3 linked regions of the Arabidopsis thaliana genome follow. The protein of the gene in region 1 interacts with the protein of each later gene in a pairwise test. Each region holds a gene or a part of one and is shown in the gene's direction. Other genes may lie near its edges.

Region 1 (5,191 bases):
TCCCTGTTTTACTTTAAAATATAAAATTTTCCCTTTGTTTGTTACAAGAATTCGAATATTCATGTGTTTATTTCCTTCGTATAGCATATATATTTTCAGAATATTTCACAATTCAAAAAAGCCTTTATGAAAATTTTAAAAGAAGAATATTCGGTGTTGCATGGGTTTTAGTTACGCTCGTGTCTCATAATGGTCACACGTTTTGTTTTGTTTTGGCCTAAAGGGATTCCATCATAAACTGAATTTTACTACAGTAGACACGCCTATCCCAATGAATCAAATGGTACAAGACACGTCTAAGGACAAAATCGACTTAACAAAATGTTCTTCATTGGAATATTTTTCTATAGAAAAATTTCAACAGATAAAAAGTTAAAGAACGGATGAAAGAGTGCGAAAAATTCTTGTTGGTGGGGTAAGTATTTTCTTTTTGGACATGAACAATTTTCAAAGGGATATATTAAGAATATTAATCAAAAACTTATAAAGGTTGGAAAAAAAGGAAGAGGAAGATAGCACAAAGCCACAAAGTCATCCACAAGAGTAAATCATATGAAGACGAAACAAAATTCAACAAAGTGATATATTCCATTTTGATATTCAAAGCCAAAATGCTTTTAGGGCATTGGTTGCTTTGAGTGTATGTATTTTTCTCCCCTACAAATACAACTCTCTTTTATCTTTGTGAGTGATTCAAACTTAAGTTAGGAGGCATGTAAGGATGTTGTATAATCAGAATTTAAATTTAAATTAGAGAAATAGACAATAAAGTTGTTTAATTCGTCTTTAGGGCGAAATAGCTTTAAACCTAAATTTGTTTTTTTTTTGTTAGAATCTTTGTATGATGTTCCCTTTTTACAATGAGTTTCTATTTCCTTACGTTGTTTTAATTTATTTTATAGCTTATGATAAGTTTCATTCAAATCAGTGTGCCTTTTTAAGAATTTTGGGTATATTATGGGAATGAGAGAAACTATAAGGAAAAAAAAAGATAAAGCTTTAGCAGCCTTGGTAGAGAAAGTAACATCACTCAAATTCATAATAACACACAAGTAAAATATAATAATATTTAAAGACAAATTCAGAAGAAAGTTATAGCTTTTTCTACATGAAATAAAATCGAACTAGAATCCCTAGCTAAAGTAATAAGGAAATACAAATAGAAAATAGCACAATTGAACAAGTATACTTATACTCTTGGCAATAAGTCAAACAATTTCATCTTGGATACTTAATTTTCCAGTAGATAGTTTCCTATTAGATATTCCTCAATGGTTGTATTACTAAATTTAGTTCTTCTATTATAAGAACAACGTTTATTTTGGCTAAGTAATTGTGTGTTTAGATTCTCTTTACAAACTTAAACAAAACAAAAAAAGTTTCCATTATTCAAACCCCAATAAATTGAAAAGAGGCACACTTTTCTTGATATAAAAGTGATTATTACTTCCATTTAAGGAAATTAGGCCTGATAAGTCTCATCTCACAATATTTTCCATTAATTGCACAAATTGATAGCTTGCTTTTTTTCTTTCTGGGTCTACTCTTCTTTTTTAGTAGACAATTTCAAGTAAATGCTTATAGTCTGAACCTGTAATCATCACTCTTCTCTGTAATGCAGAACACTTAAAAAATTACATAAAATAAAGAATAAAACTGAGGAATAAAAAATAAAAAACAGTTAAAGATATATGAAAACAAAGTCAAAGTCTCACTTTCAAGCACAATCTCTTTCCTCTGTGGTATTTATCTGCACATAGAAAAACTAATAAAAATGGGAATCAAACAGTCTTTGCATTTATTGTAAGCACACACATATATGTGTACATGATAGTGACATTGGAGAATAATCCATCATGGTCGTCTTCTTGCTTTTGAGACTATACATATACATGTGCATTATATACACTACTCAAGTAACTAAATTATTTAATTTTGCATATATAGCCAAAGAATGATGTCTTTCTGTGTACACTTACTTCTTACTCTCTAGGTACTTGCAGTTCCTTATTTTAAGAGATCAGAAGAAACCAAAGTTTGGATCTTTTTATAGTTTTCTTCCAAGTTTTGTTTTTGTTTTTTCTTTTGTTGGAGTTTCCTTCTTCATATAGCTATAACCATATAGCTAGCCATGGATATGTTTTCTTCTCATTCCTTGTCCTATAAGCTAAGCTCTTTGTCTACTGAAGCAAGTGCCTCTTCTGGTAACAACACACTCAGTACCATCCAAGAATTCAGTGGCTTTCACAATGTGATTTCTAGTGTTTGTACACACACAGAGACTCACAAGCCTAAGAAAAAGAGAGGCCTTCCTGGAAATCCTGGTAAGAAAATAGTACTTTTTTTTTTTTTTTTTCATTTGGAATCTTGAAAAACCAAATGAATCAGGATACTGTCTTTGATTCCTGGTAGAATCTTGGAACCTAAACTTTTTCTTATGGGGTTTTGCAAAAAAGTCTTCCTTTTTTTAATATTAGGGTTTGTGTGAATATCATCTTTTTACCAAGACTATGTGTTTGAGACTTTATTTTTCATGTGAAACTGGTTTATTATGTGGCAGATCCAGATGCAGAAGTGATCGCATTATCACCAAAGACACTTCTTGCAACAAACAGATTCGTTTGTGAGATATGCAACAAAGGGTTTCAAAGAGATCAGAATCTACAGCTTCACAGGAGAGGCCACAATCTTCCATGGAAGCTGAAACAGAAGAACACCAAAGAACAACAAAAGAAGAAAGTCTACGTGTGCCCAGAGACAAACTGTGCTCATCACCATCCATCTAGAGCTCTTGGGGATCTCACAGGGATCAAGAAACACTTTTGCAGGAAACATGGAGAGAAGAAATGGAAATGTGAAAAGTGTTCAAAGTTCTATGCTGTTCAATCTGATTGGAAAGCTCATACCAAGATCTGTGGTACTAGAGATTATAGATGTGACTGCGGCACTCTTTTCTCGAGGTAACCCTTTTTTAATTTTTCATTTTTTTGTTCTTTATGTCAAGTTCTTTCTTTGTTCCTTGTCTTTCTTGAAAATTTTACTGATGTTTCTGTGACAAATCTAAATTATTGTCTATCTCTATAGAGATAGGAGTCAATAGTTTTTCTTGGAGTAGTTTGATATATATAGATGAATTTAATGCTTTCGTGTGACTGATTTCAATTGTCTTCTTTTGGTTATGTTCTTTGACAAATCTGCTTGTGACTGTCCATGGAATATAGTTTGAGTGCAATTAAATGCAGTGGCAAAATTCATGGATTAAGACATTATATTTACATGTTGGCCATTATTGCGTGTATATATAATTTTTTTTTTTTTTACATAAATCACTTCACACTTTTTTAGAGCTAATATGTATGTATTTGTGTAATATAAATTAATTCTTGTCCAACAAAAAATGATTTTTTAATAACATTATATGTAAAATTTGTGTTGATTTAATGAGGAGATAAAAAGAAGCCTGCAGGTGAATCTTCTCCTTCATCATCATAATAGTGAAAAAGAATCTTGATTTGATTTTGTAATTTTTTTTTTTGTAAAAAGATTTTGATAATCTATGATTTGATTTGCTGTGTGTAAAATTGCATTGGTCCATCATGACATAATAGGCTTCAAAAGCTTTTCTTTGAATTTTGAAACTTCTTTATTATCTCTGTATGGTCCACTCCAAACTATTTCACTACTTGCAATTGCATCATTTTATTTTTGGTTTAATGTTACAATTGCATCATTATTGATCATACATACATATATTGTTTATGTTTCTATCTAATATTTGTTTTTGTTTGTTTGTGATATATATATTTTATAAACAGGAAAGACACTTTCATAACGCATAGAGCGTTTTGTGATGCATTAGCAGAAGAAAGTGCAAGACTCCACTCAACTTCTTCCTCCAATCTCACAAACCCTAACCCTAATTTCCAAGGCCATCATTTTATGTTCAATAAATCTTCCTCCTTGCTCTTCACGTCATCACCTCTTTTCATCGAACCATCACTTTCCACCGCCGCTCTTTCAACGCCTCCAACGGCAGCTCTTTCCGCGACGGCTCTTCTCCAAAAGGCCACCTCTCTCAGCTCCACTACTTTCGGCGGCGGAGGACAGACTCGATCCATTGGTCATCACCGACATTTGACGAACGTCAACGAGTTTCTTGGTGTTGACCGAGTCATGATGACGTCAGCTTCTTCGTCTGAGTACGACCAGTTAGTTGTTGATGGGTTTACGTCCACGTGGCAGAAAGCTGACCGTTTGACCAGAGACTTTCTTGGACTCACGGGTCATGGGGGACACGTTAGCGTCAGACCTGGGGATATGCTAGAGTACGCGGGTGGAGTGGCGTTTCCTATGTCGGCGTACGATACCGAATCTCATGATCACTCGTTTCAGAAGGCTTACGATCATCTGGGATTCTCAGGGGCCCATCGTATGTAAAAGGGCAAAACTGGAATCTTGTTACTTTCTTTATTTTGTTTCTCTCAAATTACTTAAATACCCTCGTGGACAAAAAAAAAGACACAGAGCATTTCTTTCTGGGGATTATTAATTTTCTAAAATTGTTGCTAGCTTTGAATTTTTGTCTCGTTTACGTTGGATTTTCTTGTAAAAATATATTCGTACAAGGAAGTAAGGAACATTTAGAATTTCCTTAGTCAATATTATGTCCGTTAAAAAACCTAAAAAAGTTTTTACTTGGACATTACATGAAAAATCAAAAATAATATGATTTTCCTTAAAAAATGGATCGGTAAAAGTCCCACAAAACTGCAACGTCTCTAGGGATTGACGAATGTGTCCTCTCAAAGCCAGCTTATTTGACTGTGATAGATACTATACAAGTATACAACTTCTTTCATCATATCCACGTTACATGTATACATCATGTAATATGCACTTTTGTCTTCTGAAGATATATATTGCCAATCTTATACACATTGAGAAATACATATTCATCGTAACTCAAATTTGGCAATAGGTGTCGACAAACATATTTATTGTTGTTCTGATTGTTGTTAACAAGTTTCTATCGTAATCACTAATCAGTGACAAGGAGCTTATACTATTGATGGTCATTTATGTTGCCACTATGGCATTAGTAACGAACACTAACATGTATGTATCATTTTCATACTGTGATGAATAGTCGCTATACCAATCACAATTAATTTAGTGACAAATCATTACAATC
Region 2 (3,891 bases), about 11 Mb from region 1:
ACACAAGAGAGTATTTGATGTTGTGGGTTTTTCGAGTTTTTGATATCATTATGAGAGAAGCTTCATCTACATATAAAGTCTCGATCTTTCACTCACAATGTAGATTAAGCTTCTCTCATTATGGTTTGAAATGCAGTTGGAGCTAACAAACAAGAAAAATGTAATGTCTTTCTAATTCTGGTGTTGTTTTTACTAAAGGATTACGGCGATGGCATTGGTATGGAAGTATGGAGAAAGAAAGGGTTATGAGTCTTGGAAAGGTCTCTCATGGGGAATGGTGAGAAAGCTCTAAGCCGTTTTCCTAGATTACATGATTTCATTTTTCTGAGCTTTTTGGTTGTTCTTAATCAGGTACCTTTGCTTGGTGGAGCTCTCTGTGCATGCACATGGCATTTCTTCTACAACGATGAATCTCTTGAGGTCAAGAAACTCTTGACTCCAACTTTTAGCTATAAGTCTGTGATATGTTTCGTTTGCTTCTTCACTCCTACTTAATGGTGTAATTGTTGGACTGCATTATCAGGTGTTGGTCGCTCTTCAGGCAGCACTAACGGTGTTTGGTAATATCACTCTCTGCATTGCTGCCTTTCGGATCAACAAGTTGTCATCCAAAATTGAAGTCTCTGAAAAGCCATGATGGCTAAACCGATCAATATGAGCAAAGTATAATTGAATTATTAATTGGAGGATCACTAAGATTCTTTTCCCCTTTGAAAAGTTCTATGAGATTCTATGTCAACGATTTAAGTATATTATATAGTCTTTATATGAGGAAGATCCATGTGCATTCAACCTATATCAGTAACCCAAGTTACACAGATTTAGTCTTATCCAGAATCTAGAGTTTGAATTAAATTATAAATTTTGGTTACGTGATCATAAGAACTTCTCCATTTTTGTATAAATGAGATCAAGAAAACAGAAGAAAGAAAGTGCCAAAACTGATAACGTTTTTCCCAGTGTGGCAAGTTTGGCTAAAATTATAAATAAAAGTAGACATCAAAATGCAGATATTGAGATTATCTTAACTCAAAATGCAGATATTGAACGTTTAACATTATCTGAACTAATTATCTTGTTTTGTTATATCATCTTAAATCGAGACCATATATAGTAAAACATGCCAACAAACTCAATCTAGTTAGTTGAAGAAAATCATTGTGTATAACTTACATCTGTCACACACAAAATTGAATCTTTACGTGGGACAGTACGACAATTTTTTTTTTTTTTAAATCCGAATCTCTTGAAGTTAAAAACTATAAGCAAAAATGTGGGGTGGTTGAGCTATTTCTGGTTAGGATCTTAATAAGAAGAAAAAAAATGAACGTAAGTACATAAGTTTAAAATAATAAAATTTTCGAATTATTAAAATAAGATACCAAGTTCCACTTAAATCTTGACAACGCGTTAATCGTGTTTAGACCAAGCCAGGGCGTGATGAAGAAGGCATATCTTATCTTTATCTTCCCCAAAAGTCCACCAATAATACCATCTTAATCATTACTTAAACAACCCCAAAGGCCATTTATACATTTAAATTTGTTAATTTTACCTATTAGTTTGTACTCCTATTATGGGAAAAAAAAACCTACATCATTTTTTTTTGGATCAAACTGGATAAAAAATGTCAATTAATAAAAAAATGGAAAGTCAGAATTCAAAAATAAAGGAAATATACACGTCAGCTACGAAAGTACAGTTCTGACTTCATAACTTTGGAAATTTTACAAAACAGTGCCATTATTATTCCGTTTAGCTGCTCGATGATAAATTATAACCGTCAGATTAGGTCAGCCAAAAGAATCGCACGGTTAAGATTACGAAAGTGTACAATAAGGAGGTGTAGAAGAACACAACTTAAAAAAAGTGAAAACCGTAGCGTGACTCATACCATATAAATATATACACATGTATGTTCCTCCATAGTTACGTGTTTCTGTTTTTCTCTAATTTTTCTCTTGTTGTTCTCGATTAACGAAAAAGACTTGTCGTTCTCAATTCTTATCGATTTAAGAACAAATCATCTAACGAAGATTACTTCCGAAGATCAGAAACAAACACAAACTGTGAATCGTTGTTTGTTAATTCTCTTTAAAATCGCCAGAAGAAAGAGATCTCCGTTTTCTACAGGTAAAAATTCCCAATCTCCTTTGTCTTGTGTATTTTTGATTGATTGATTGATTTAGTTGATTCTGTGTCTTGTCCGATCTGAATTAGATTCTTGTGTTATCTTAGTATTTGTGTTTCGGAAACTCAGATCTACTTTTTTAATTGCATAATTTGATGACGAAATTGTTGTTATCGTAGCTAAAACAAAATCGATCTGTGTCAATAATATAGTTGTACTTTTGTTATGGATCTAATCCTCAAAAACCCGACAACCTTAAAAGATCCTCTGACATTGAGGAATCTTTGGTCTGACTAATCTCATCTATTGTCTTCTTGTCGTGTATATTGTCAATAATCGCAGTGGTAAAATTTTAATTTGAATTTATGTGGTGTAACAGAAGAAAAGCAAGAGAGTAAGAATGGGATCGGAACAAAACGATAGCACAAGCTTCACGCAATCGCAAGCTTCAGAGCCAAAGCTATGTGTTAAAGGATGTGGTTTCTTTGGATCACCATCAAACATGGATCTCTGTTCTAAATGTTACAGAGGCATTTGTGCTGAGGAAGCTCAAACAGCAGTTGCTAAAGCTGCTGTTGAAAAATCTTTCAAGCCTTCTCCTCCTCGTAGTCTCTTCATAGCAGAACCTCCTGCTGTTGTTGTGGAACCCAAACCCGAAAAGGCGGCAGTTGTTGTTGTCTCGGCCGAGCCATCTTCCTCGGCGGTTCCTGAGGCGAACGAGCCATCGAGACCTGCACGAACCAACCGGTGTTTGTGTTGTAACAAGAAGGTTGGGATCATGGGGTTTAAGTGCAAATGCGGGAGCACTTTCTGCGGCGAACATCGGTACCCGGAGACTCATGATTGCAGCTTTGATTTCAAAGAAGTTGGACGTGGAGAGATTGCCAAAGCTAATCCTGTGGTTAAGGCTGATAAAATTCAAAGGTTCTGAAATATGGAAGTTTTTTCTAAGTATTTTGGTGGTAATTACTCATTTGTATTTGAACCGATTTGGGGGTTGTCTTGGATGGTTTTAATGGATTGTTTCCAAAGGGATAGAGGATGATGAATTTGGTTCCGTAATAAAGTGAATCGATGAAGTTTGTTCTTAAACTAAATTGCCAATGAGTTTGACTCATCTCACTTTTACAAAAAAAATTTGGTCATGTTTACAATTTCAATATAGACATCATAAACAAAATAAGTAATCTTACCAATAGACCTTTGACGAAAGAAGGGATAGTGTTAAGTGTTAACCATGGCAAGGCAACCATCGACCCACTATTCAGTTCGCTTTCCCCCTAAGTGTCTTTCCCATTTTAAACTCTCAGTAACAAATCCGCGTAATATACACGCAAAACCTACCACTGGGAGTTTAAAATGAGAGAGATACTCATCGTCCTCCCTATTTTGAAGATGGGAGCATTGTGAAATTTTATAACACTTCAAAATTATACAGACATTCATAACAATAAAGATATACATGAACCAACGATAACACTCGGCCTTTTATCTTCGAAAAAAAGTCATGTTTCCTAAGTGAGCTAACTAATTTATGTCTTGGTATAACATACCAATGTTACATGAATATATAAATTTGAACTTGGCATATATATTAGAGTTTTATCTTATTTGATCAACATGATAGCATATTGGGCCCCATATCGGCCTAAATATATAAATATATTTTTGGGCCTGGAATTTGGTCTGTACATGTAAAGCCCACATGTAAGATTGAGGATATATAAAACTCGATTCTATTAAATAATACTATACAGTAT
Region 3 (3,802 bases), on another chromosome or scaffold:
TAACTAGTAAAGGAGCATCTACATTATATATTTTTAATGATTAAACGACACAAGTAGAAATGTAATCATATTGTAATTTTCCAAAAAGGAAGAAAATAAATAAAGTTGAAAAATATAAATATATGGGAAAGAGATGGAGAAAGATGACTTTGGGGCATGAATCAGATTATATTGTCTCCTTGGATCCTTTGGTCGTTCCCTACTTCGCTTCTTCATTCTTCAAAAATGGATCTTTTTTGTCTTATCATACAACTTTTCACCTTCTTTTAAATATAATATATAATTTATTATTGCAAAATTGGCTTTTTTAAATCCCGAAAGTTTTGAAACCGTATCTTTCAATCTCATAAAAGAGCAGTGCTAATTAATACCCAACACAAAAAAAACTCAAATAATTTAGGTAAACTTTTGACGAAGTGTATAATTACGAGTCAATATTAACAAATGTTAGTTAATTCAGCTGACAAGTGTTTGTCGAAGTGATATGTTCTTCACGTAAAATGCCTTTTTAAAATTATTAGGTTTTTCGCGCGGTAACTTTAAAAATTTGTTTGATAGTAGTTAAGTTAAAATATTATAGTAAGACTAAGAGTATACATTTTCTCAATACATGTGATTGGGATGGTAGGAAAATAGTTACTACTTTCAAAAACCTGATAAGACAATGGATTATCGCATATTCTTTCTTTTAAGGTAAGTTGACTATTCTGGACTTTGCTAAATGTCTTACAAGATTTTGGACTACTCTTTTGCTTGTTGGTTGCTAGCTTCAAATGCAAGCTAACAAGAACTGTGAGTTCTTTTTGGACTAGTCTTATTATGCTTGTTGGTTGCTAGATCCAAATGCAAGCTAATTCGAGCTAAGTAGAACTTTTGTATCGGTCAAACTCGAGTTACATCAATCTTTGATGCCTAGGGGTTAGGGTTTGTATAATTTTCTTAGGATTAGCTTGTCAATTTAAGTCATAAGTATATACAGTATAAAAAAATAGGTATCAACATTGACATCATACATGTGATGACGTTACAAAAATTATTTTAATTACATGTAATTTATTACAAGACTAGGCTAAACATGATTCTGTGCGATACTACGATATGTAATCAAAATTGTGAATTTTTTTCCAAAATATCTTTTCGATTTTTGAAAATATGTATTAACAAAAAAAATTGATCTAAATATATAGAAAGCAAGAAAGTATTTAGGAATAAAGACAAAAAAAAAAGTTCTAAAAAAGAAATGTATTTTGTGGTAAAAAATATAAAACAATTTAGACAGAATGTTGTTGTTTTGTATTTTAATTTAGCCGTTTAATTTCTCAACCTTTCAATTTCATAGGTGTTTGACTTGTATATGCCCACACATGGTTATGTCTTTAGTTTTTTTTTGGTACAAACTATCTTATTCCTATTAACTAAGATCGATATTTAATAAACTCTCAAGTCAAAATGGTTATATCACAATTCGGTATCTTGTTTATGATCGATACAGTATCATCATTCTACTGAAGAAGTAATCGAGAAAACGTATATATATGAAATCCTACATATAAATACGTTTTCTCGACTACCACCACTTCAGAAGAACGATGATGTGCAACTTTTCCTTCACCATTGCTATTGCCAACATCTCTGCAAATCAAGCCTTAGACGTCCACTTAACTAATTTGGGTTGCTTTTGAAAACGCAAAGTATATACATATCACACACATTCTGACCCGTCTAATGACATTCACGGTTCATTTGATCATTTAACTAAGGTAAGGTTTTAGTATGGGCAAAAAAAAGTAGGGATTCGTATAAATAACTTATATTGCAGCTGTCAACAAAAAAAAGATAATTAGTAAATGTAATGTCGGTATAAAGCATACTAAAGCAGAGAAATATTATACAATTTTATATACTCCAATATAAAAGTGTTTGCATATATATAGAAGCAGAAGAGACACAAACAGTTCTCATTTGGTAAATGCTCCATACTTTCTTCACTTCTCCAACAAAACACAAAAAACAAGAAAAGAAAAAAAAATGACGAAACGTTTCAAATTAAAGATTTCAAGAATCCTCTCATTCAAATCTTGCCGTTTAAAAGATCCTTCTTCTCTTCCTTTTAATCCTGTTTCTTCAAGTCTCCGACGTACTTCTCCACTGGTTAACTCCTCCGCCGACGTCACCACCGTGCCGCAACGTCGCCGTTCTTCTTTCAGACTACACGTTTTAACTGTGTTTGGCTGCGGACGCTCGTCCACGCCGTTGGATGTTGATCTGAGAAACTCACCGGTGTTATCTCCGCCGCAAACGCCGACGTTTCAGTGGGAAAGTGAAGGGAAGTGGCACGTGATTGCTCAAGTCACTGAAGAAGAATACGAAACGCCTCGTCGGAAAATATACAACGGTGGGTCGGAGAAAGATAATCGCCGGCGTTTAAAGAAGAAGGAGAAATCAAACTCTCGGCGGCGAGGGAGCATTTCCTCCGCCGAAGAAGAGACTGATAGAGAGAGTCTCTTACCATCTTCTACAAACCTCTCGCCGGAATATTCCTCTTCCGAGCTACCGCGTGTCACAAGACGTCCGAGACAACTTCTCAAGAAGGCGGTGATCGAGGAAGAAAGTGAATCATCATCACCGCCACCGTCTCCGGCGAGACTGTCTTCGTTTGTGCAGAGATTAATGCCGTGTACGATGGCGGCGGCGGTTATGGTGGAAGGAGTGGCGGTGGTGAAGAAATCGGAGGATCCATACGAAGATTTTAAAGGATCAATGATGGAGATGATAGTAGAGAAGAAGATGTTTGAAGTAGCTGAGCTTGAACAGCTTCTTAGTTGCTTCCTATCGCTAAACGCGAAACGCCACCACCGCGCGATTGTAAGAGCGTTTTCAGAGATTTGGGTTGCTTTGTTCTCCGGTGGTAGTGGTGGTGGTCGGAGATCGTCCTCCTTCTCGAGTGTTCGACTCTCAGACTACGATGAGTGTTAAAATAATAATGTTAAAAATTAAAATCCTCTGTTTATGATAATGTCTAACTAAATTCTACTAAATTTTTTTCACTTTTAGTGACGATGTAAATGTTAAATGTAAATTATGCGGCGGTGCAATTATTAAAACTGTAATCATTAAATGCGTAGGCTAATTAAAATATTGTATTTGTGCGATTTAGATTCTAATGCATAGATTGCATATATTCATAATCGTCAACACCAAACCCAAAAAAAGATGTTCATATTCACACGCAATAATTGCTTTTCAAAAATTTCACTTTTTTGGTTACTAAAGTTAAAGTTATGTATACAAAACTAGATTTTGACCCGCGGTATACCGCAGATTTATTTTTTCTAAATAAAATTTATATATTAAGTAAAATTCGTATAGTTGAATAATAGATTATGTATTTGAGTTAACGGTTATAATATGTATTTTTTTTAGAATTTTAGTTAGGATTACGGTTAAAATGTATAGTGTATCTAATAAAAGCATGATAAACTGTATTATGTAAAATTCGATTTTTTTTTAACCCGCGATATACCGCAGGACTATTTTTAAAAAAAAAATAAAAGTTTAATTTGTTTAATAAAATATGATTTAATGTTTTGTATTTTTTAAATGTACAACTCTTATATCTATATATATTTTTAGTGTATAAATACAATGTTTGATTTTTCTCGTATTACTATTGATCCAAATCCATCCTACAATCTAATCCCTTCCAGTGAAATAAAAAATATATAATGGATTTCACTCTTGGTATACCGTCTCGTATTACTATCGACCCAAACTCGTCCTACCATCTAACCCCGTTCAGTGA

What was found.
Region 2: the proteins of IDD12 (region 1) and AT4G22820 interact in a two-hybrid assay, tested with the Arabidopsis thaliana proteins (one large-scale study listed by BioGRID).
Region 3: the proteins of IDD12 (region 1) and OFP7 interact in a two-hybrid assay, tested with the Arabidopsis thaliana proteins (one large-scale study listed by BioGRID).

The regions. Positions count from the first base shown.
Region 1 is NC_003075.7:1,175,436-1,180,626, reverse strand, and holds IDD12 (indeterminate(ID)-domain 12), read left to right. Parts: upstream 1-2,002; 5' UTR 2,003-2,131; coding exon 2,132-2,324; intron 2,325-2,560; coding exon 2,561-2,960; intron 2,961-3,815; coding exon 3,816-4,437; 3' UTR 4,438-4,627; downstream 4,628-5,191. UniProt on the Arabidopsis thaliana protein: Probable transcription factor.
Region 2 is NC_003075.7:11,987,042-11,990,932, reverse strand, and holds AT4G22820 (A20/AN1-like zinc finger family protein), read left to right. Parts: upstream 1-1,845; 5' UTR 1,846-2,133; exon of another isoform or gene 2,134-2,510; 5' UTR 2,511-2,531; coding exon 2,532-3,062; 3' UTR 3,063-3,284; downstream 3,285-3,891. Other genes in the region: AT4G22830 (YCF49-like protein), read left to right, coding at 199-277, 352-420, 524-637. UniProt on the Arabidopsis thaliana protein: May be involved in environmental stress response.
Region 3 is NC_003071.7:8,025,074-8,028,875, forward strand, and holds OFP7 (ovate family protein 7), read left to right. Parts: upstream 1-1,883; 5' UTR 1,884-2,028; coding exon 2,029-2,976; 3' UTR 2,977-3,200; downstream 3,201-3,802. UniProt on the Arabidopsis thaliana protein: Transcriptional repressor that regulates multiple aspects of plant growth and development through the regulation of BEL1-LIKE (BLH) and KNOX TALE (KNAT) homeodomain transcription factors.